Lytechinus pictus: one gene and its partners. The protein of the gene in region 2 purifies or fractionates together with the protein of the main gene of each other region. This does not show direct contact. Links are inferred from orthologs where the notes say so. Each region holds a gene or a part of one and is shown on either strand. Other genes may lie near its edges.

What was found. Proteins that work in one complex are often made in the same cells at the same time.
Region 1: the proteins of zinc finger protein 830-like (region 2) and RING-type E3 ubiquitin-protein ligase PPIL2-like purify together in Homo sapiens (co-immunoprecipitation; 4 studies listed by BioGRID and IntAct, counting the BioPlex papers as one, with this or other methods). This does not show direct contact. The link is inferred for Lytechinus pictus from reciprocal best matches to the Homo sapiens genes ZNF830 and PPIL2.
Region 3: the proteins of zinc finger protein 830-like (region 2) and peptidyl-prolyl cis-trans isomerase E-like purify together in Homo sapiens (affinity purification with mass spectrometry; 3 studies listed by BioGRID and IntAct, counting the BioPlex papers as one, with this or other methods). This does not show direct contact. The link is inferred for Lytechinus pictus from reciprocal best matches to the Homo sapiens genes ZNF830 and PPIE.

Annotation. Positions count from the first base shown.
Region 1 is NC_087246.1:20,479,550-20,486,685, forward strand, and holds the start of RING-type E3 ubiquitin-protein ligase PPIL2-like, read left to right. Parts: upstream 1-4,080; 5' UTR 4,081-4,217; coding exon 4,218-4,249; intron 4,250-5,854; coding exon 5,855-5,904; intron 5,905-6,532; coding exon 6,533-6,578; intron 6,579-7,022; coding exon 7,023-7,136. Other genes in the region: uncharacterized protein LOC129283664, read right to left, coding at 856-986, 2,325-2,570, 3,614-3,629. UniProt on the Homo sapiens protein: Has a ubiquitin-protein ligase activity acting as an E3 ubiquitin protein ligase or as an ubiquitin-ubiquitin ligase promoting elongation of ubiquitin chains on substrates.
Region 2 is NC_087247.1:42,396,162-42,403,307, reverse strand, and holds the start of zinc finger protein 830-like, read right to left. Parts: upstream 3,027-7,146; 5' UTR 2,983-3,026; coding exon 2,876-2,982; intron 1,153-2,875; coding exon 1,053-1,152; intron 1-1,052.
Region 3 is NC_087261.1:25,313,972-25,321,201, forward strand, and holds the start of peptidyl-prolyl cis-trans isomerase E-like, read left to right. Parts: upstream 1-4,174; 5' UTR 4,175-4,432; coding exon 4,433-4,469; intron 4,470-6,526; coding exon 6,527-6,669; intron 6,670-7,230. UniProt on the Homo sapiens protein: Involved in pre-mRNA splicing as component of the spliceosome. Combines RNA-binding and PPIase activities.

The sequences.
Region 1 (7,136 bases), on a different chromosome or scaffold from region 2:
CTGAAATTACCTTTTTTTTTGTTTTAGTTACTTCTTTTTTAAATCCCGTTTATCTTTCTCACCCATTTTCTATCACTCCTTTTCTTTCTTTTTTCTATTTCTCCCTCTCCCGTTTATACCTTTACATTCATTTCTTTCTCATTTACTTTCCATTCTCATTTTCTTTTTACGTCTCCTATATTCTTCTTTTATTTGCCTTTTTCCCTCTCTTTCTTTCAATTTTCGGTAGTTAGGTGGCCTTTCCGACTAAAACTTTTCACAGCAAGACATAATTATAGGGAGATATTCATTGATGTATCAAAATGAGGTGAGAAGAAAATTAAGGGAAAATTTGACATTGAGGGTATATCATACACTCTTAAAAATGTTGGGCAACATACGGTCCACACAACAATTGGTTAAAACTTTATCCAATTCTGGGTAGTTTTACACCAATACTGTGTAGTTTTCACCCAAAGCACACATTATTGGTGTAAAACTACCCAGAATTGGATAAAGTTTTAACCAATTGTTGTGTGGACCGTATGTTGCCCAACATTTTTAAGAGTGTAAGGACTCGCATGCTAGCTTTACGAAAAACAAATAAACTTTATTAGTCATTAGACTATTTTTAACCTTTCAGCAAAGTTAATTATGTACATTCAAAATATAAAACAATAACAAGATATATTTTACAGTTGAATTTAAACAATTTATTCGACCAATGCATGCTATTCATGTCAGTATTGCGGCAAAATATTACATTAGGGACAATTTATGCATTATTAATAACATGGTCAATATTACTGCACTTGGCAAGAATCATAACAGCAATTAAAAGGTTTTTTGGGTTTGAGAGTTCGTGAGTTCATTCAGTCAGTGCCTAGAAGTTGATGCAGAAGACATATACGGATGATAACCCATTGGTGTGTAGAAAGAAGACGGTGTTCGGTGAAGATACTCAGCGCTAGAGGGAGAAGGAGAGTGACTGCTACGAGAGAGAGAGTCTACTGACGCCAATGCAGTGGCGTAACAGGCGGGGGGGGGGGCAGGGGGGGGGGTAAGCTGCCCCCCTGGCGGAGCTCACCGGGAAAATAAAAAAAAAACGGGAAAAAGAAAAAAAGGGAGGAAGAAAGGGAAAGGGAAAGGAAAGAAAAGAAAAAAGGGGAAAGGGAAAGGAAAAGGGAAAAGAAAACTAAGAAAAAAACATAAAAAAGGGAAAACGGAAAGATAACGGGAAAAGGAAGGAAAAAAGAACAAGTGAGAAAAAACAATTCGCCCCGATATAATACAGTAGCATGATTAGTAAGACAGGGAAATAAATTAAAGATGACAAAAAGGCAAACAAAAGCGGGAAATAAAGGCCCCTATATGGACCCTTCCTGCATTAAGCTTTACGTTGAAACACTGGCATACCGGGGGGGGGGGAAATAAAAGAAAATAAAGGAGGCAGCGAAATTAGATGAATGAAAAAAATATATGACATGATATTTGCTATAATGATGTAAAAATCTATCACATAATTAGAATTTCATTTTAACAGGCCTTTTTTTTATTGGCTCGCTTCGCTCGCTGGCGACTTTTTACAAATTTTCCCACATTTGCTATGGTGTGCCCCTCACAATATGTGGATGATTACGATACACAACTGCATTGAATTTATGTGTTGTGTTAAAGCTTTATAAATATACACGCAATTTGATTAAAATAAGTGGCCATCTGCAAGGTTTATGGCTTTGATATCAAGAGGTTCCGGGGTTCTACCCTGGACCCCACCATAAAGCACTGTTATATGGATGAGTTGGACCATGGCCCCCAAAAGTTCTACAACGAAACAAAAAAAAAATGAGGAAAGAAAGGAAAGTGTATTATATTTTTCTGAATATCACGTTAAAATCTATCTTCATGTTAGATTCTCATGAAAAGGTGATTTTTTTTATCTCGCTCGCTTCGCTCCCCCGGACCTATATTAAGCTACTTCTTGCCAGAAGCGCCATACTCGGCCCCCTCGAGCATATAGAGCTTCGCCCTGATGCTCACAATCATAACAAAAATCCTGTTCACCGTGGCGTACAAAAAAGAGAGAAAAAAGGAAAAAGAGGAGGGTGAAATAATTATGATATCATCTTTTTAACATTATGTCAAAATCTATCACAAAATTGGATTTTTGCAATAAAAATGTATAAAAATTTTGCTCGCTCGCTTATATATATATATATATATATATATATATATTGGCCCGATATGCCATATCGCCCCCTCAAAATTTTTGCCTTATGACGCCATTGCCTGTTCCATGATATGACCGGGACATTTTTGGCTCTTGCCCCCCCTTGGCCACCGACCCCTGTTACGCTGCTGCATCAATGGACTGGTGGCGCCTTTCGTTGAGTCACGTGATGTCGTGCAGTGGAGCTGAGTGACGCCATGACATTGAAGATGTGGGTCCAATGAAACTGTCGTTGACTCTGACGTCGATCGACTGCTTTCAGCGAGAAAGTCGACAGAGAACTTGGATGACACGACGCCCAACTTCTTTGTAGGTGGTGTCGTCTGGTTGACCTCATCGGCGTCGCATGGTGTCTTCCGCTCTTTCAATTTTTGGTAATTAGGTGGCCTTTTCGACTAAACTCTTTCACAGCAAGGCATAATTATAGGGAGATATTCATTAATGTATCAAAAAGATATGAGAAGAAAATTAAAGGAAAGGGATTTGACATTGTTGGTATATCATAAGGACTCGCATGCTTCCTTCGCGAAAAACAAATAAACTCTATTAATCATTAGACTCTTTCGAACCAATCAGCAAAGTTAATTATGTACATTCAAAATATAAAACAACAACAAGATATATTTTACAGTTGAATTTGAACATTTTATTCGACCAATGCTATTCACGTCAGTAGTGCGGCAAAATATTACATTAGGCGCCACCAGTCCATTGATGTCAGTAGAGTTTCTCTCTCGTAGCAGTCGCTCTCCTTCTCCCTCTAGCGCACTGACTGAATGAACTCTCGAACTCTCAAACAGAAAGGAACTTTCCATTGCTGTTAAAATAATATTCTTCTCAATTGCACTAATATTGGTCATATAATCATAATGCTCAAACTGTTCTTATAATGTTACAATTTGTAAAACTATTAAAACTAGCAGGAATGGCATTAGTCGAATAAATCGTTTGAATTCATTTATAAAAATATATCTTTTTTGATGTACATATTAATTATCTTTGCTTTAAGGTTGGAAAGAGGTGGGATTGATAAAATGTATGCCCTATTTATTTTTAAGTGAAGAGACGTTCTCACTACAAGTTTCCACTAAACTAGTTTCCACTGAACTAGTTTTAGGAAGGGAGTGAGAACGGTGTCTTATATAGTGCAGTAGAATATATAATTTAGATAATAGTTTCTGCGCTCTGAAATCTATAAATTTAGATCTATACTATTCATTTTATTTAAAATGTTATCACTCTCTTATCTTGCATCCAATTTTTTAATGAAATTTTCAGTTTTTTTCTGGGGTGCATGGACTTGACCTTTAAAATTAAATAACTTCGTTATTTGTTATCCGATTTTGATGATATTTTCAGAATTTTGCCCTGTGAATTTTACATTATTTATTGAGATATGAATACTTCCAGCCTGGACCATCCCTTTAAATCCCGAGCTGGGTTTTTCATTTGCGTTTCACACGGGATTTCAAAATCCCGAGGGGGTTTAAAATTCTTGGGTGAATTCGGGCCATAATGTTTATACACAAAGGAGTCGCTCGATCGCTCACTTACTTTTTGGTGTTGGTGTTGGTGTTGAAACTTTGGATTGCTTAATTCCCCCCCCCCCTCCCTTAGCTCCAAAATCTATTCTGAGTTTGTAAAACTGATCCAGATCACATTATTGACATCTCAACAACTAGTGAGTGACTTCTCGGCACCATCTTCATTTTATGTTTGGTGTTATAATCGTGTAAACATTGACCTAACAGGTTAACACCAACATCAAACGGTCAACACTGAACTCGAAGTCACCCATTGGCATTAATCCCGGGAGTATACCCCTCACCATTATTTTGATTCACATAACGCCAGCTACGGTAGCTTTTTTTAAACTATACGGTATGGTACGTAGGACGTAGAACTTAGATCATCATTAATAATACTTAGTGGAGAAAATCGACGCGGAACTCCGGAATTTTATTGAAATTTAATTTTTACCTTGTTCAAGTAGAGTCGATAAATCAAGATGGGGAAGAGACAACATCAGTCAGATAAGATGTGAGTATTGTATTTTATGGTTTTCCCCCTTTTCATCTGATTCTTTAATTCACGGTTTCTTTAGTTTAGGGCCCCTGGCACCTGCGGGTTTCTCCCATGTCACAACGCCGGTCTGGGCGGCGGAGTGCGTAGTAGAATCCCGTTGGCGTTGCTTGCTCTTGTACTGTAGGCGAAATTTCTGCCTGGCTGTTTCACTTTCAAACACAAACTGACAAAGCAGGTTGTGAATTGTGTGAAGGAGGTTGAGGGGGCTGGCGATGTCGCAAAAATGTACTGAAATTTAAAATGAAGAAATCTCTGGTTTTCTTCTGAAAATCTGCATTGACGATTGATCTGACCATGCTGACTGAGTTTGCGAACTTTCTAACAAATTGAAATTAAGGATTGTATCTTCAAAATGACAGCAACAAAAAACCCCACAGAAAATCTCCACCCCATTCAATTGATTGAATTTGCACAGAAATCAAGCCGACAGCATGCTATCGGTATTGCTAGCTAGTGCCATAGTGGGCACTCACAACATTGCAAGGTTAGTGCTATACCGTATACGAACCTTGCACAACCAACATGTTTTTGTAGAGTTGTCGTTAACATCGCTTCATAACGTGAATGATGTTAGCCGAAACCCATTCCGCTACTCACCAGGGCTTTTTCTGGTAGAAAGCGTTCCATTTTCAATTTTTAACATATTTTTTTAATTTAAAAAGGACACAAAAAAGAGCAAAATCGCTTACCTCCGCCTGGAAAGTGGCTTCGCACGTCTCTTCCACGGAAATAAAAGGAAGGTCGTTCGTGGCGCTAATACAGTTCACAACCTTAATTCAGCTTGGTGGTATTTTTAAAACTAGATTCATGATTCATTGTATGCGCAATTCCAATAATTGTTTGATAAAATAGAGACCCCAATAAATGCAATAACTTAAAAACCATGTCACTTTAGTACAAATGACCTTCCTCTGATCATGCGCAGAATCTTCTGATCATGCGCAGCTTGAAACAGCTTGAAAACAAACGGCATGACCAGTTATTTTTTTAACAGACATTTCATTAAAACAACTGATTCTTCCATTTGAATTTACAATAGAATGTTTCATGTTTATTTCTATACTAAAATTTATTGTTGAATATATGTTGTTGAAAATTTCCCTCCCCATAATAACGTTGATTACAAATATCCATTGATTTGATCGATTTGATGCAGCAACTTTGAGTATGCGGCATTGTAGGCCTTATAATATCATAACCACTTTACAGTGAACCATGTGATATTGTTACCCTGGCTGTACTTCACCTGGGAAACTCCAGATAACTTTGCCTGTTTTTTTTTCCTGTTTTAATAGAAAATCATCACTTTGGCCCATTTCATAAAAGATTTATGATGATGGTAACTTTACCTTTAAAACTATGTTCCGTGGTTACAGAGTTCAGCATCCTATCAAAACAAGATTTGCATTAATACCATAATGGCAAAAGTACCATCATCATAAATTTGTACGATGGGCCCCTGGAGTAGGATTCAACCTATTATCTTCTGATTGAAAGGCGAGTGTTGGAACCATTTCTATTACTTTAATAGTTTGCAAACTTCTTCTCACAATGAAACAGGTATCTGACCTCCAAGGAGTGGACGGCATTCTACGGTGGCAAGAAAACTGGTAAGAGAGATTGAAGTTTTCTCATCTCTATCCATCTTTATTCTCTGATCTTTTTAATGTTAGAAGACATTATAATAATCATAGAGTTGAGATGAATAGCAAAGAGGCAGATGGCACAATAATGAGCAGTAACAAGCTATCAACTTGGAACATGACATTTGGGTATTTATTTTTTTGTTCAGATAGGGTTCACCCCATGGTGGGTGCTAAAATTGCACCCTTTCCAACATCTGAAACCTTTAGCATAGATCTGGCAAGGGGGTTAGCATTGAAATTGCACCTAGAGCTCTGATATTTTTTCATGGTACACCAGTGCTTCTGAGGTTTGTGGATTAAACTTTCAAGGTATATATTTTTCTCTCTCTTTTTCTTCCCCTTTACTTTAACATTTTTTGCCTCCGACAAAGATTCTGCTAGGATCGAAAGCTTAGGCCCCTATTGACTTTCTAATTTACTCCATTGGCTCTCTTTTATTAGATAAGCAGTTTTCAGCAGCTTCTTTTTGCCATTTTTTGTACCCGTTAAAGTGATGCCATTGTAAGTTGTCCATCTAGTCCCCCTGATATACATTGTATACTCTTTATGAAAACTGAATAATTTTCTTTCTTATTTTAATGTTGTATCACAGAATCACAGAAATCTGAGTTTCGTAGATTACCATTTGATCATTGCAGGTATGTGATTTCATTCATTAGAAAATCTTAAAGAAGGGAATACATAGGAATTTTATAAAGTATTAGCTATATTTTCATATATAAGATTTTATACTTATTTCATTTCCTTATGTAAATTGAAGAGTTATTAATATATTTAAGCGCTTAGAGAAATTTTGTTAGGCGCTATGTAAGTATTGAATTATTATTATTATTATATCGTATTTAGTATTGTTTCATGGTTTGAAGTATTAATCATATGACAGGTCTTTTTTTTCAACCGTGCCGGGGGGGGGGGGCAGGCCTACATATGCACAAAATCTCAAAAACTTTTTCAAATAATAATAATTAAAAATTAAACAGTTGTATTTAATAAATGTACTTCTAAATTTTTTTGCACAAGATATGATTAAACGATTGTATTCTTATTCAAATAGTATTTACATTTTTTTCTTATATCCAAAGTCTATCCCTTCAGCCTTTTGAGCACCCCTACTGTACTTCAGATGGTATTATCTTTGATCTGATGAGTATTGTACCATTCATCAAAAAGTACAAGACCAACCCCATCACAGGGCA
Region 2 (7,146 bases):
ATGGACTAGATCCATACACTTTTGGAGTTATGATGGTAATTCAACACGTACCCCCAACATGGCCAAAGTTCATTGACCTTTGACCTTGGTCATGTGACCTGAAACTCGCACAGGATGTTCAGTGATAATTGATTACTCTTTATGTCCAAGTTTCATGAATCAGATCCATAAACTTTCAAAGTTATGATGGTAATTCAACAGATACCCTCAACATGGCCAAAGTTCATTGACCTTTGACCTTAGTCATGTGACCTGAAACCCGCACAGGATGTTCAGTGATACTTGATTACTCTTATGTCCAAGTTTCATGAATCAGATCCATAAACTTTCAGTTATGATGGTAATTCAGCAAATACCCCCCAACTTGGCCACAGTTCAATGACCTTAAATGACCTTTGACCTTGATCATGTGAACTGAAACTCACACATGATATTCAGTGACACTTGATTACTCTTATGTCCAAGTTTCATGAATCAGATCCATAAACTATAAAAGATAAGATGGTAATTCAACAGATAACCCCAACTTGGCTAAAGTTCATTGACCCTAAATGACGTTTGACCTTGGTCATGTGACTTAAAACTCTGGCAAATGTTCAGTAATATTTGATCAGCCTTATGTCTAAGTTCCATGAACTAGGTCCATATACTTTCTAAGTTATGCTGTCATAACAAGAACTTAACCTTTGGTTAAGTTTTGGTGTTGACGCCGTCGCCATAAAAAAAGTGGTGCCTATAGTCTCACACTGCTATGCAGGTGAGACAAAAAGGAATCAGTTTGAACTTATATTAAAGAGCACACTGACTGCAACTATGTTCATGAAACTTTATGCATATAAAAGAGGAATTGTTTCTTGACTAATGAATCATGAAAAGCCTCAAGTAAAAAAAAAAGAGAGAATGATGAATAATCCTGTCATGGGGTGAAAAAACAAATTATTTGTAATTATAATCAAGAAAAAATAGTGAAGGTGATGATACAAAATAGAAAGGAGATGGGGAAGAAAAAGGAGGTGGAGAAATACAAATTATGTAGAATATATATTACTTACATCTTTATGTTTCTTTCCTTGAATATGAGCTGTCCACAGTATTTCATTCTTCACCTGCTGATTACAAACTACACAGATTAACTGACCAAGGTTGTTATACGTATGTCAGTGTTAAGGAATTATTTAGTTCTTAACAAAACATTAAGTTTGACCTTTATCAGATATCCAGAACAAAATAAACAAAAACTCGCAAGCTATGACCATTTCAATCACAAAATAGCATTACAACTGCAACTCTGTAGTCTGTTCAAAACATTGATTTTTCACAATAATTTTACAACTGGATCCCCTGAATTGTGTCTTAGTGAATGCCTGGATGTAATTCCATAAATCGAAATTGTAATTGCCAAGATCTTTCTTCTATTTCTGTCATATTCATTGACAATGATAATATTATTTTGATCATCCCATAACTATCATCTCTTATAATACCCCAAATTATATCACAATATCATGGTCCCTAGTAAACGTGATGAAAACTTGCAGGAGTAACTGTTCCTAACTTTTAAATTATTAATTTGAAATAAAACTAAATTTTGCAACTTTCTTTGCACTAAGACTAAGTAACATGACCAACAATATTTACATTTACTACTCTATCATTTTATCCATCCATCAAGATCAACTAGACCTGGGTAGGGGTTTCATAAAGCTGATCAATTGTGAATTTATACAAAAGAAAATAGATTTAGAGGATCTAAATTTTTGTGTTTTGACCAGACAGGTATCAGATAGAAACTTTCTCTAGATTATTCGGACAGTAAAATAATAATAAAAAGAGACTGGGCCGGGCTGGGCTAAGACTAAGTAAATAAATATTTGCTTAGCCTTGAGTTGCACTGGCCGATTTAAATTTTATGGCAGCTGAACACAACAAGGAATTTGGCAATACGATGCATGCCTTTCTCGAGTAAAACAAAAATAGCAGCGAATTCACCAAGTTAAGACTAATACTAGACCCTAAACTAATATTAATAGTCAAACCTAAACTAGGGAGTTCGGTGAAAATGCCACTTTCAGAATTTGTATCTGTCTGTGCACCCATGTACAAAACAAATATGAAGCCATTAAATTTAAAGGAGGAGGAAAAACCCTATAGAAACCTATACCATGAGAAACTTTGAAGTTTAATGAATAAAATGATGTATAATTCAAGGGAATGCCTTGCCCCGCAAAGCAGCGCATTGCACTTTTTAAAAAAGTATTGCACAGTCCCATTCATTGCATTTTGTGTAAGTTATGAAAATCTACTTTTTGCTGTAAATAAAATCTGCACATTCTACCGTTTAAACAGAAATATCTCTGTCAATATTTGTCATCATGAGTCGATTTATGCACCATTCTTTTTCTTATTTCACAAGCATTCCATTGGTACCAAATTTGTTGGGATTCCTTCAAGATTTCAAAAAGCAACTGTCTCCCCCACTCAAACAAGCCTTTAAAAAAAATTTGACAGAACAAAATCTGCATATTTTCCCCTGTAAATTGGAATATCTCCGTCAATATATCAGACAATGAGTTAAATGAAGCACCATTATTTTTCTTATTTCACAAGCTTTCCAATGATATCAAATTTGTTGGGATTCTTCAAGATTTTAAAAAAATCACCGAACTCCCTACCTATACTAATAGTAATACTAACCTCGCAATACGTGTGAGTGTCCCTACCTAAACCGTTTTGAGTAAACGCCAATCAAATGACCAACGTAAACTTAATAACATGGGACTACAATAATTCAAGACAGTAAAATAACTCGAGGCTTTAGCTCTGACAATGGCCGAATTTATTAATTTCTTGCCTGAAATACTATTTTAAAGGATATTTTGCTAATGGTGATTCAATTCTCTTGACACTGCTTTGCTTTGCAGCCTTTTGCTGTCTCATTAACTCCCGAAGATCTACCTTCTTTTTCCCACTGGAGGCTGCCATTTTGTCTACGAACGGTGCGGTAACGTCAAGGGCGCCAGCATAAGTCCAAAGTTAGAACGGAGGAAAAAATATGCGGAGAGAGCTAGCAGGGGGTTAATACACAAAATTTGGTGTTCAATTTTCACATTTCTGTACATGGCTGCTCTCGTACTGTAAAATGCTATTTTCCCACTCCCCGTTCAGCGGCCCCTGTAAGGCTAACTTTGGATTTTTTGTATAAGGATCAATTGGATCAAAGCATATTATTTTACGTTAGTAGGATGGGGGGTCGGGTGTCCGGACACTTTATATTTTTGAAGCCTTCTTTTTTGTCTTTGGATTACACTAAAAATACGAAATCAATAGTTGTAATCATCTTCTATTTGGTTCTTTATAATATTTCCTGACATTTTGTACTAAAAATTGATAAAACTTCCCTTGTAAATTGTTCCAAATGACTTTCTAAAATTGATCGTCCGGACACACAACAACTATGAGGCGCCGAATGTACCAATATTATATAGAACAATTATTTGTTATATAATCATTATTTATTAAATAATAACTATTATTTATATATAATTTACATTTTATTTGTAAATAACTACTATTATATAAAATATCATTTCTAATTATTTATATATAATTCCAAGTAATACTTCATTATTTGTAAATAATAATAGTTCGACATTCCATTATTTATAAATAATGATTATTTGTTTTTCATTATTTATAAATAATGATTATTTGTTTTTCATTATTTATAAATAATGATTATTTGTTTTTCATTATTTATAAATAATGATAATTGGTTTTTCATTATTTATAAATAATGATTATTTGTTTTTCATTATTTACAAATAATGATTATTTGTTTTTCATTATTTATAAATAATGATTATTTGTTTTTCATTATTTATAAATAATTTGTTGAGTTTTCTATTATTTATAAATAATGATTATTTGTTAAATAATGAAAACGTCTACTTCATTATTTATAAATAATTTTTTCGAGTGCACCATTATTCTCATTATTTATAAATAATCATTATTTAATGTTCGAGTTTTCCATTATTTATAAATAAAGATTATTTGTTAAATAATGAAATATCTACTTCATTATTTATAAATAATAATTTTGTTTCAATATCCCATTAATCATTATTTATAAACAATTTTTACAGTTTGCCATTATATACAAATAATCATTATTTATATACAAATAACCATTATTTATTAAATAATGCCATTATTTATTAAATAATGCCATTATTTATTAAATAATGCCATTATTTATTAAATAATGGAAAACTCGCTATATAACATGCAAATGTGGGACCGCCCATGATATGAATATTCATGATGTGATTTCCTTTTTCGTGATTTTTCTTCACAAATTTTTGTCCATTTCCTCTTCATAATGACATTTCTTGAAGCAATTTTCTAGGGATATGGTCTGATTGTAATATTCTTCATTTTCTATATAACTTCGTCTTCGTAGAAATATCAAAAAGTGTAATTTTATACGATTTTTCCTACAGTTCACAATCCCCATAGGCGCGCGTGTACGGTAGGGACAACCGGTGAATCGACGGAGTGCTCTTCATCGAAATACTACGTTGGTTGGTCCCCGGAAGTGGCGGGCGGAATTTAGCCCGAATCCTCGATGGAAGTCGATCAAGTGCATATGAGCTGAGAGAGTGAAATATCAGTGTACTTGTACAGGCCCTTCTACTTTTTATAAATATTTCTTGTTGCTTTTTTTGTTAAGTTAATTTTTCCTGGTGTAGAGATAAGTTTCAGTTCTAATAATGCACTTCAAATACATTTTGGAGTGTCTGTTTGAGGCGTTTGGGGCGATTTCACCCTGGCCCCAAAATGCTCGCAACGACAATACGGGGGCATGATGACCCCTAAATTTAAAAAAACTTATTTTTCTATTGAAAATTATCACAAAATTCACCAAAAGTGTGCACGAAAGCCTTCGTATTTCACTTTTAAAACTCCAAAAAGTGCCCAAATGACAAGCTTGGTCGCTTCGCTGTGTCGCTTTCAACTTGAGAACGTTTACGCGTCTGCTTCGATATATCCCCCCCCCCCTCCTCCGAAAGAAATTCTGTATACGGCCATTCTCTAAAGAGCCTGGCACATTGATTTATGTATACTTTCATTTTCATTATTTTTATCTCATTATCAACATGGCCTTACGCATGAGGGAGGCGCGATAGCTCAGTCGGTAGAGCGGGGGTTTCGGATTCCGGTGACCCGGGTTCGATTCCCAAGTGGTGCGCTAGTGCCCTTTGGTAAGGCATTTATCCTCATTACCAGGTCCCTCGGAGAGGACCTTAAGCCGTTGGTCCACTGGTTGCTTGCTCACAGGCATTCGTGCTTTCTTAGCAGTCAGGTAAAACAACCTCGGTATAACATAATTTTTTCCAGGGGGGCCGGGGCCGGAGCATGACGCGCGTAAACTTTCTCAAAAAAATCTTGAAAGCGAGACAGCCACGGGACCAAGCCCAAATGACAAGCTTAGTCGCTTCGCTGTCTCGCTTTCAACTTGAGAACGTTTACGCGCGTCTGCCCCCACCCCCCGAAAACAATTTTGTGAACGGCCATGCTCAAAAGAGCATATGGCACATTGATTTATATGTACTTTTCATTTTCATTATTTTTATCACATTATCATCATGGCCTTACACAGAATTTTTACCGGGGGGGGGGGGGGGAGCAGCTAGGACACGCGTAAAGTTTCTCAAAAAAATCTTGAAAGCGAGACAGCGACGCGACCAAGCTCAAATGACAAGCTTGGTCGCTTCGCTTTTTCAAGATTTTTATGAGAAAGTTTACGCGCGTACGTCATGCTCCGGCCCCGGCCCCCCTGGAAAAAATTATGCGTAAGGCCATGTTGATAATGAGATAAAAATAATGAAAATGAAAGTATACATAAATCAATGTGCCAGGCTCTTTAGAGCATGGCCGTATACAGAATTTCTTTCGGAGGAGGGGGGGGGGGGATATCGAAGCAGACGCGTAAACGTTCTCAAGTTGAAAGCGACACAGCGAAGCGACCAAGCTTGTCATTTGGGCACTTTTGGAGTTTTAAAAGTGAAATACGAAGGCTTTCGTGCACACTTTTGGTGAATTTTGTGATAATTTTCAATAGAAAAATAAGTTTTTTAAAATTTAGGGGTCATCATGCCCCCGTATTGTCGTTGCGAGCATTTTGGGGCCAGGGTGAAATCGCCCCAAACGCCTCAAACAGACACTCCAAAATGTATTTGAAGTGCATTATTAGAACTGAAACTTATCTCTACACCAGGAAAAATTAACTTAACAAAAAAAGCAACAAGAAATATTTATAAAAAGTAGAAGGGCCTGTACAAGTACACTGATATTTCACTCTCTCAGCTCATATGCACTTGATCGACTTCCATCGAGGATTCGGGCTAAATTCCGCCCGCCACTTCCGGGGACCAACCAACGTAGTATTTCGATGAAGAGCACTCCGTCGATTCACCGGTTGTCCCTACCGTACACGCGCGCCTATGGGGATTGTGAACTGTAGGAAAAATCGTATAAAATTACACTTTTTGATATTTCTACGAAGACGAAGTTATATAGAAAATGAAGAATATTACAATCAGACCATATCCCTAGAAAATTGCTTCAAGAAATGTCATTATGAAGAGGAAATGGACAAAAATTTGTGAAGAAAAATCACGAAAAAGGAAATCGCATCATGAATATTCATATCATGGGCGGTCCCACATTTGCATGTTATAGCGAGTTTTCCATTATTTAATAAATAATGGCATTATTTAATAAATAATGGCATTATTTAATAAATAATGGCATTATTTAATAAATAATGGTTATTTGTATATAAATAATGATTATTTGTATATAATGGCAAACTGTAAAAATTGTTTATAAATAATGATTAATGGGATATTGAAACAAAATTATTATTTATAAATAATGAAGTAGATATTTCATTATTTAACAAATAATCTTTATTTATAAATAATGGAAAACTCGAACATTAAATAATGATTATTTATAAATAATGAGAATAATGGTGCACTCGAAAAAATTATTTATAAATAATGAAGTAGACGTTTTCATTATTTAACAAATAATCATTATTTATAAATAATAGAAAACTCAACAAATTATTTATAAATA
Region 3 (7,230 bases), on a different chromosome or scaffold from region 2:
CAAATTATGGTGAAGCCAATTTAAAAGGAGGTGAGGCAAGTTTCAATTGAGGTTTTTAAAAAGAATAAACTGTACTACAAATTTAAAAGGAGGCGAGGCAAGTTTCAATGGAGGTTTTTAAAAAAGAATAAACTGTACTACAAATTATGGTGAAGCCAATTTAAAAGGAGGTGAGGCAAGTTTTAATGGAGGTTTTTAAAAAGAATAAACTGTATTATGGTGAAGCCAATTTAAAAGGAGGTGAGGCAAGTTTTAATGGAGGTTTTTAAAAAGAATAAACTGTATTATGGTGAAGCCAGTTTAAAAAGAGGTGAGGCAAGTTTCAATGGAGGTTTTTAAAAAAGAATAAACTGTACTACAAATTTAAAAGGAGGCGACGCAAGTTTCAATAGAGGTTTTTAAAAAGAATAAACTGTATTACAAATTATGGTGAAGCCAATTTAAAAGGAGGTGAGGTAATTAGTTAATGGAGGTTTTTAAAAAGAATAAACTGTATTACAAGTTATGGTGAAGGCAATTTGAGAGGAGGTGAGGCATATGTCTACAATGATTTTTTTTAAAGAATGATAAGTGTAGAATATAATTCAAATGATGAAGCCATCTTGAGAGGTGCATGAGGCAAGTTTTCAATGAGGTTTCTAAAAACAATGAATAGTGAAGAGAAAGTTCGCAATTGCTTTTAATAATCCACAAAATTGTGTAGTTATTTATTTCATGCAAATTGCTATTAATTGATTATGCTCATTTGTGCATAATTAGTATACTATACCTATTCCTCTAACTCCCTAAATAAAGCTCCAAATGTTCTAATTTTTGGTTTAGAAACTCTTTGTGGTGTTCTTCGATAATGTATTTCTTGTGTTTTTACCTTTGTATTGCATTGTTATTTTTCAACGATGCTCGGACTCTCGTAACAGCATAAAATAAATCAGTTTAGTTCAACAAAACTAAAAACAATTAGGCATTCATGAATTTTGGTTGAAAACGCATATTCCATTGACGTGGTACACAAATATCACAATTTTGAGCCATTTTTGTCTGATATGCACTTACAAATTGTTTGGTAATTTTCAGAACCCAGTACCCGGGCTTCGCAAAACTGGTCTCAAAACATGCAAAAGACTTTTTTTTTTAAATCGCAGAGCTCAGAGCCCCCCCCCCCCCCCTGCGTAAATAGGTTAAGTTTGCATTAATTTTGAACTTTTCCATTCCCAAATACGTAATATCCCCTCCCCAAAAATGCAATTGTCACTGAAATGGAATATACATAATATATTTTTTAATAAGCCATATTTGCAAAATAATCATCATGTCATCCTTTGTCAACAAGAAATCTGTACATGTCCTCTGGAAGAAAATAATACCTCGGCCGCCTATTAAATTCTAAGTTTTTATTTTGTAAGTATTTTACTTAGCAATTTGGCTGGCTTATCAAAATGCTTAAACTTGTATGCAGATCAGATCTCAGAATTTACCTTATCCAAATTGAACTAAATACTAATACCCATTGTGATGTTATAAATTTTGAGCCAAATAGTGCCAAATGTGTGAATGTATTTCTGTGCGTATCATTTTTGTATATGTAGACTTAAGTCTAGTAGATGGCTGACTTACATTTAAGCAAAATATTTAGCCCAAAAAAAATGCAATTGAATACCAAAGATGGATAAGTATTTTACTTTTGCAAAATACTGAGTAAAATATACTTGAAATTGTGGCTTTAAGAGTAGCATTGAATACCGGCCCTGTTCCTCATCATCATTATCATCCTACTACCACACCAGTTTCTGCAGCACAAACTTTAACTTTCATAGGTTGAGTCCATTTCAAAGCCAACACTCTCACTTTAACTTTTTTCTCTTATAACATGACGTCCACACACTGCCAATCACATCCTTACAACACCAACTGTCAGAGGACAACAGAACTGCAGTTACCATATCATTACCCCCAAAACACCACTCAATTTTGAATTGATCCAAATGAAATATGACTGTGTTGCACAAAAAAAAGCTATGTAGTCATAGTAGATTTTATTGACTTGTACATTCATAAGGCTATGCATATATTTTGAGTAATTGTTGTGTTGTCTTCAGTGATAGTTGGTACCCACTGTGCTTATGGCCAACTTTGGTAAAGGCATACATTGAATAAACTTTTATGTACTGAAAATGATGACAGAATATATTCTAAAAAAATAACATTACAAATGCATGACAGGTAATTTCAACATGAACTATTTCACAATTTGCCAACATGACAATAAAAACTAACCTTAAAAAATAGTAGAAGCTGATGTTGGATGGAAAAGAATATTTTTGTCATACAGCTTGAAAGACATTACATATGTATGCCTCACCTCCTTTTAAATTGGCTTCACCATAATTTGTAGTACAGTTAATTCTTTTTTTAAAACCTCCATTGAAACTTGCCTCACCTCCTTTTAAATTGGCTTCACCATAATACAGTTTATTCTTTTTAAATACCTCCATTGAGGCTTGCCTCACCTCCTTTTAAATTGGCTTCACCATAATTTGTAGTACAGTTTATTCTTTTTAAAAACCTCCATTGAAACTTGCCTCACCTCCTTTCAAATTTGTAGTACAGTTTATTCTTTTTAAAAATCTCCATTAAAACTTGCCTCACCTCCTTTTAAATTGGCTTCACCATAATTTGTAGTAGTTTATTCTTTTTAAAAACGGACTTGCCTCGCCTCCTTTTAAATTGCCTTCACCATAACTTGTAATACAGTTTATTCTTTTTAAAAACCTCCATTGAAACTTGCCTCACCTCCTTTTAAATTGGCTTCACCATAATTTGTAGTACAGTTTATTCTATTTATAAACCTCCATTGAAACTTGCCTCACCTCCTTTTAAATTTGTAGTACAGTTTATTTCTTTTTAAACCTCCATTGAAACTTGCCTCACCTCCTTTTAAATTGGCTTCACCATAACTTGTAATACAGTTTATTCTTTTTAAAAACCTCCATTGAAACTTGCCTCACCTCCTTTCAAATTTGTAGTACAGTTTATTCTTTTAAAAAACCTCAATTGAAACTTGCCTCACCTCCTTTTAAATTGGCTTCACCATAATACAGTTTATTCTTTTCAAAAACCTCCATTGAGGCTTGCCTCACCTCCTTTTAAATTGGCTTCACCATAATTTGTAGTACAGTTTATTCTTTTTAAAAACCTCCATTGAAACTTGCCTCACCTCCTTTTAAATTGGCTTCACCATAATACAGTTTATTCTTTTTAAAAACCTCCATTAAAACTTGCCTCACCTCCTTTTAAATTGGCTTCACCATAATACAGTTTATTCTTTTCAAAAACCTCCATTGAGGCTTGCCTCACCTCCTTTTGAATTGGCTTCACCATAATTTGTAGTACAGTTTATTCTTTTTTAAAAACCTCCATTGAAACTTGCCTCGCCTCCTTTTAAATTTGTAGTACAGTTTATTCTTTTTAAAAACCTCAATTGAAACTTGCCTCACCTCCTTTTAAATTGGCTTCACCATAATTTGTAGTACAGTTTATTCTTTTTAAAAACCTCCATTGAAACTTGCCTCACCTCCTTTTAAATTGGCTTCACCATAATACAGTTTATTCTTTTTAAAAACCTCCATTAAAACTTGCCTCACCTCCTTTTAAATTGGCTTCACCATAATACAGTTTATTCTTTTTTAAAACCTCCATTGAAACTTGTCTCACCTCCTTTTAAATTGGCTTCACCATAATATTCAGGTAAGGTATATTCATTCTTTTTTTAAAAAAACATCATTGTTCACTTCCCTCACCTAGATCATTTGGCTATATATAATACCTTTTATTCTACACTATTCTTCCCTTTAAAAAAACCTGATTGTACTCCTGCCTCCCCTGATCTGAGTCTGACATTTGCCTCTCAACGTACTGGAAATAGATACCCTTTTTTCAATATTTTTGTGTTTTTGACACCCTTATCACGTTACGTACGTAACGTGCCCTCTCTTGAAAAATACATCCTTTTTACGTGTTTTTTTTGGTCGCGCATGGTATCCACTCGTCAATGTAAGTGGCCCCCCCGGGCGTACTGTACATAGTGTTATTTTATTATCTCTTTATATCGGAAACTTCGTTTTACCGAATTGCCATGCACTCTCTCCGACGCGTTTGAAGTCTTAGACAGCATGGCATACTACCAGCCGATGGTACACACACGCACACACACACACGTTATTTGACAACTTGTCTCTGGAGCCAAAGTTCCTCGCATATAACTACTAGTATCTGCATGCCTGCACGCAGTGTGTATTGAACACGCACGACCACGATCTAATGAATATTCATCGGCGAGACTGACGTCATTTTACGAGTCTCCTTTCAAACTTGGATCATAAGTGCCTACCGTAGTTTACTAGTCAATCGAGCGAGATACGAAGCGTAATCAGTCATGTCGTCAACAAATACCAAGAGAATCGCTTACGTTGGTGAGTTTCTAATCCATTTCCCAATGATTTTTGCTATTGATCGAAGGGACGTCTATATTTTTTCATTTATTTCATTACTTATGAAAATGAAATGGCAATATATAATTGAGAATAAATACGTGTGTACTAATTCGTAGACGTAGTCCCATATGATGGTTTGTGTGTTTGCTTGTCCTGAAAAAAACTTGAGTTTGTCCACTTGCTCACTGGCTCACTGCAACCATCCTGCCTGTGGAGTGTGGGGAATCTACAGGTAGAACCACTCATTCAATGAACAAGGTTATGATATAACCTAGTGGTTGTCAGTTATATCTCCATGTCATGTGTGTGGCAAAATAAGGATGGCAATGTTTGGCTTATTTTCTCTTTTTCTTTGGGACAAATGCTTGATTTTTTTTACACCGACAGTTTCCATTGCACCTATTCGTCATACAACTTGGCCCTTAAGTAAATTTGATTCTTAAAATTATTTTTTTCTTAATTAAAAATAGAGATTAAAAAATGAAAATTTTCTTGCCATATTATTATTTTCCACCAATAGAGGGCGTGCACAAAAATATGCCCCAAATTCAAGTTTTTGAGCGCTCTAGTGAATACAAATTATTCCCAAGTTACAAATGAAAAAGAAATTGCAACTGTATGGAAATTAGTAATTTTGGTCACAAAAGTGAAATTTTAATCATTTTTTAAAGTGTGTGCTCTGTACAGCATTGGCATGCCATAGTCCAACCTGTAGATTCCCCACAGGCAGGGTGGTTGCAGTGAACAAGTGGGTAGAACTAGTCTATGGTATGCCAATGCTGTACATAGCACATACTTAAAAAAATCATTAAAATATCACTTTTGTGACCAAAATTACTAATTTTCATACAGTTGCAATTTATTTTTCATTAGTAACGTGGGAATAATTGTTTTTTTTCACCAGAGTGCTCAAAAACTTGAATTTTGAGCATATTTTTGTGTAAGCCCTCTATTGGTGGAAAGTAACTAACATGGCAAGAAATTTTTCATTTTTCAATCTCTATTTTTGATTAAGAAAAAATGATTTAAAGAATCAAATTTACATAAGAGCCAAGTTATATGATGAATAGCTGTATTGGAAACTGACAGTGTAAAAAAAACAAGCATTTGTCCCATAGAAAAAGAGAAAATAATCCAAAATTGCCACTAGTGGCACTACCTTATTTTTGCCACACAACATGGAGATGTAACTGAGAACAAGGTTATATCATAACCTTGTTAATTGAATGAGTGAGTTTGTCAAGATTTTTTTAGCAAGGACCACAAAATTTAGAAAGCTCTTAATTCTTCATTTAAAAACACATAAATTAAAAATGATCTTCAAGGCTAAAACATAATAAAAATTACTTAAAAGTTACACAAATTCCCTATAACTTCTGGAAAAATAGCAAACTAGATTGTGGTTATGTGCCAAAAAAATACACAGAAGAAATGGTCCCTCACCATGCTCGCTACCCTGGGACTGTGTTGAGCCTCTCGGAGGAGCCATGGAAACATGTCACATTGATAGACCATCAACTCGGTCTCGGCTGCCAGAAAATGTTAAGATACCGCTAAACGAACCACTCAAAATATAATATGCAAGAACACTTGGGGCAAATTCACGCATGACTATTTGTGCACATGCCCAACACGGCAACAGCACAATCTAACGCCCATGTACCTCGAGCTAAGTTCGTGCAGGCTCCACTCCACTTCACTACCACTACACTACGGTCCACCTACCCGAACTTCGAGACCGTGAACTCTATCTGATATTCAGCAAGAAATTAAATCCACACTGCTGCACTCGACCCAGGTGAGGTAAATGGGTACCGGCAGGAAGTAATTCCTCAAAAAGCCGTGCGCACCAGAATTGGTAGACTAGCTTAGCCGGGGTAATATAGGAGCGCCTTGAGCACCTAGCAAGGTGGATACGTGCGCTATACAAATGAAATCCTATATTATTAATATTATTATTAGTTGTGATAAGGCTACATTCCAAACCCATAGCAATTTGTTAATCATGTATCAACTATCATTTCTTCGGATTCTAGGAGGATTGGCAGAAGAGGTAACAGAGAAGACGCTTCATGCAGCCTTCATTCCTTTTGGCGATATCATGGACATACAAATCCCCCTTGACTATGAGACTGAAAAGCACAGAGGTTTTGCTTTTGTAGAGTTTGAGTTTGCAGAGGTAAAGCTCCTGTATTTATTCTTTTATTTAATTACCTACATGTAACAGTTTCTCTACCTTTGAGTTCTCACCACCAAGCGTCTCACCACTGATGAGACTACTATGGCGTGAAATAGGCCCAAAACGAACAATAACCACATCGCTTTTTAATCAGAATTATGTATTGGTAAACTGAGGAATTTGAACCAAGTGTACCGTACATTTGTAGGGTTAGATCAGCTTAAAGTGATTCAGAGACGGATGTGTGTATTTTTAAAGAATTACCAGTACCGTAAGGGCACTAGTATTCAACCCGTTTGGAGAGTTTCCTCAAATATATAGAAATATAAAATTTACCTGAATTTCAGACCCGTCTTATTTTCAAGAGCAAATGCTGGTTATTCTTTTTCCGTTATTCTTTTTCCGTTATTTTTTTCTTCAACCCGTCGACTGTGTGCGCGGGCGATCGAATTATACGGCGATGGTGTTTGGCACTAGTATTTAACCCGTCGGCACTAGTATTCAACCTAGCAATGAAAGATGGCCCTGTCTCTCAATCTGCCCTTGTCCCATCCGACTATG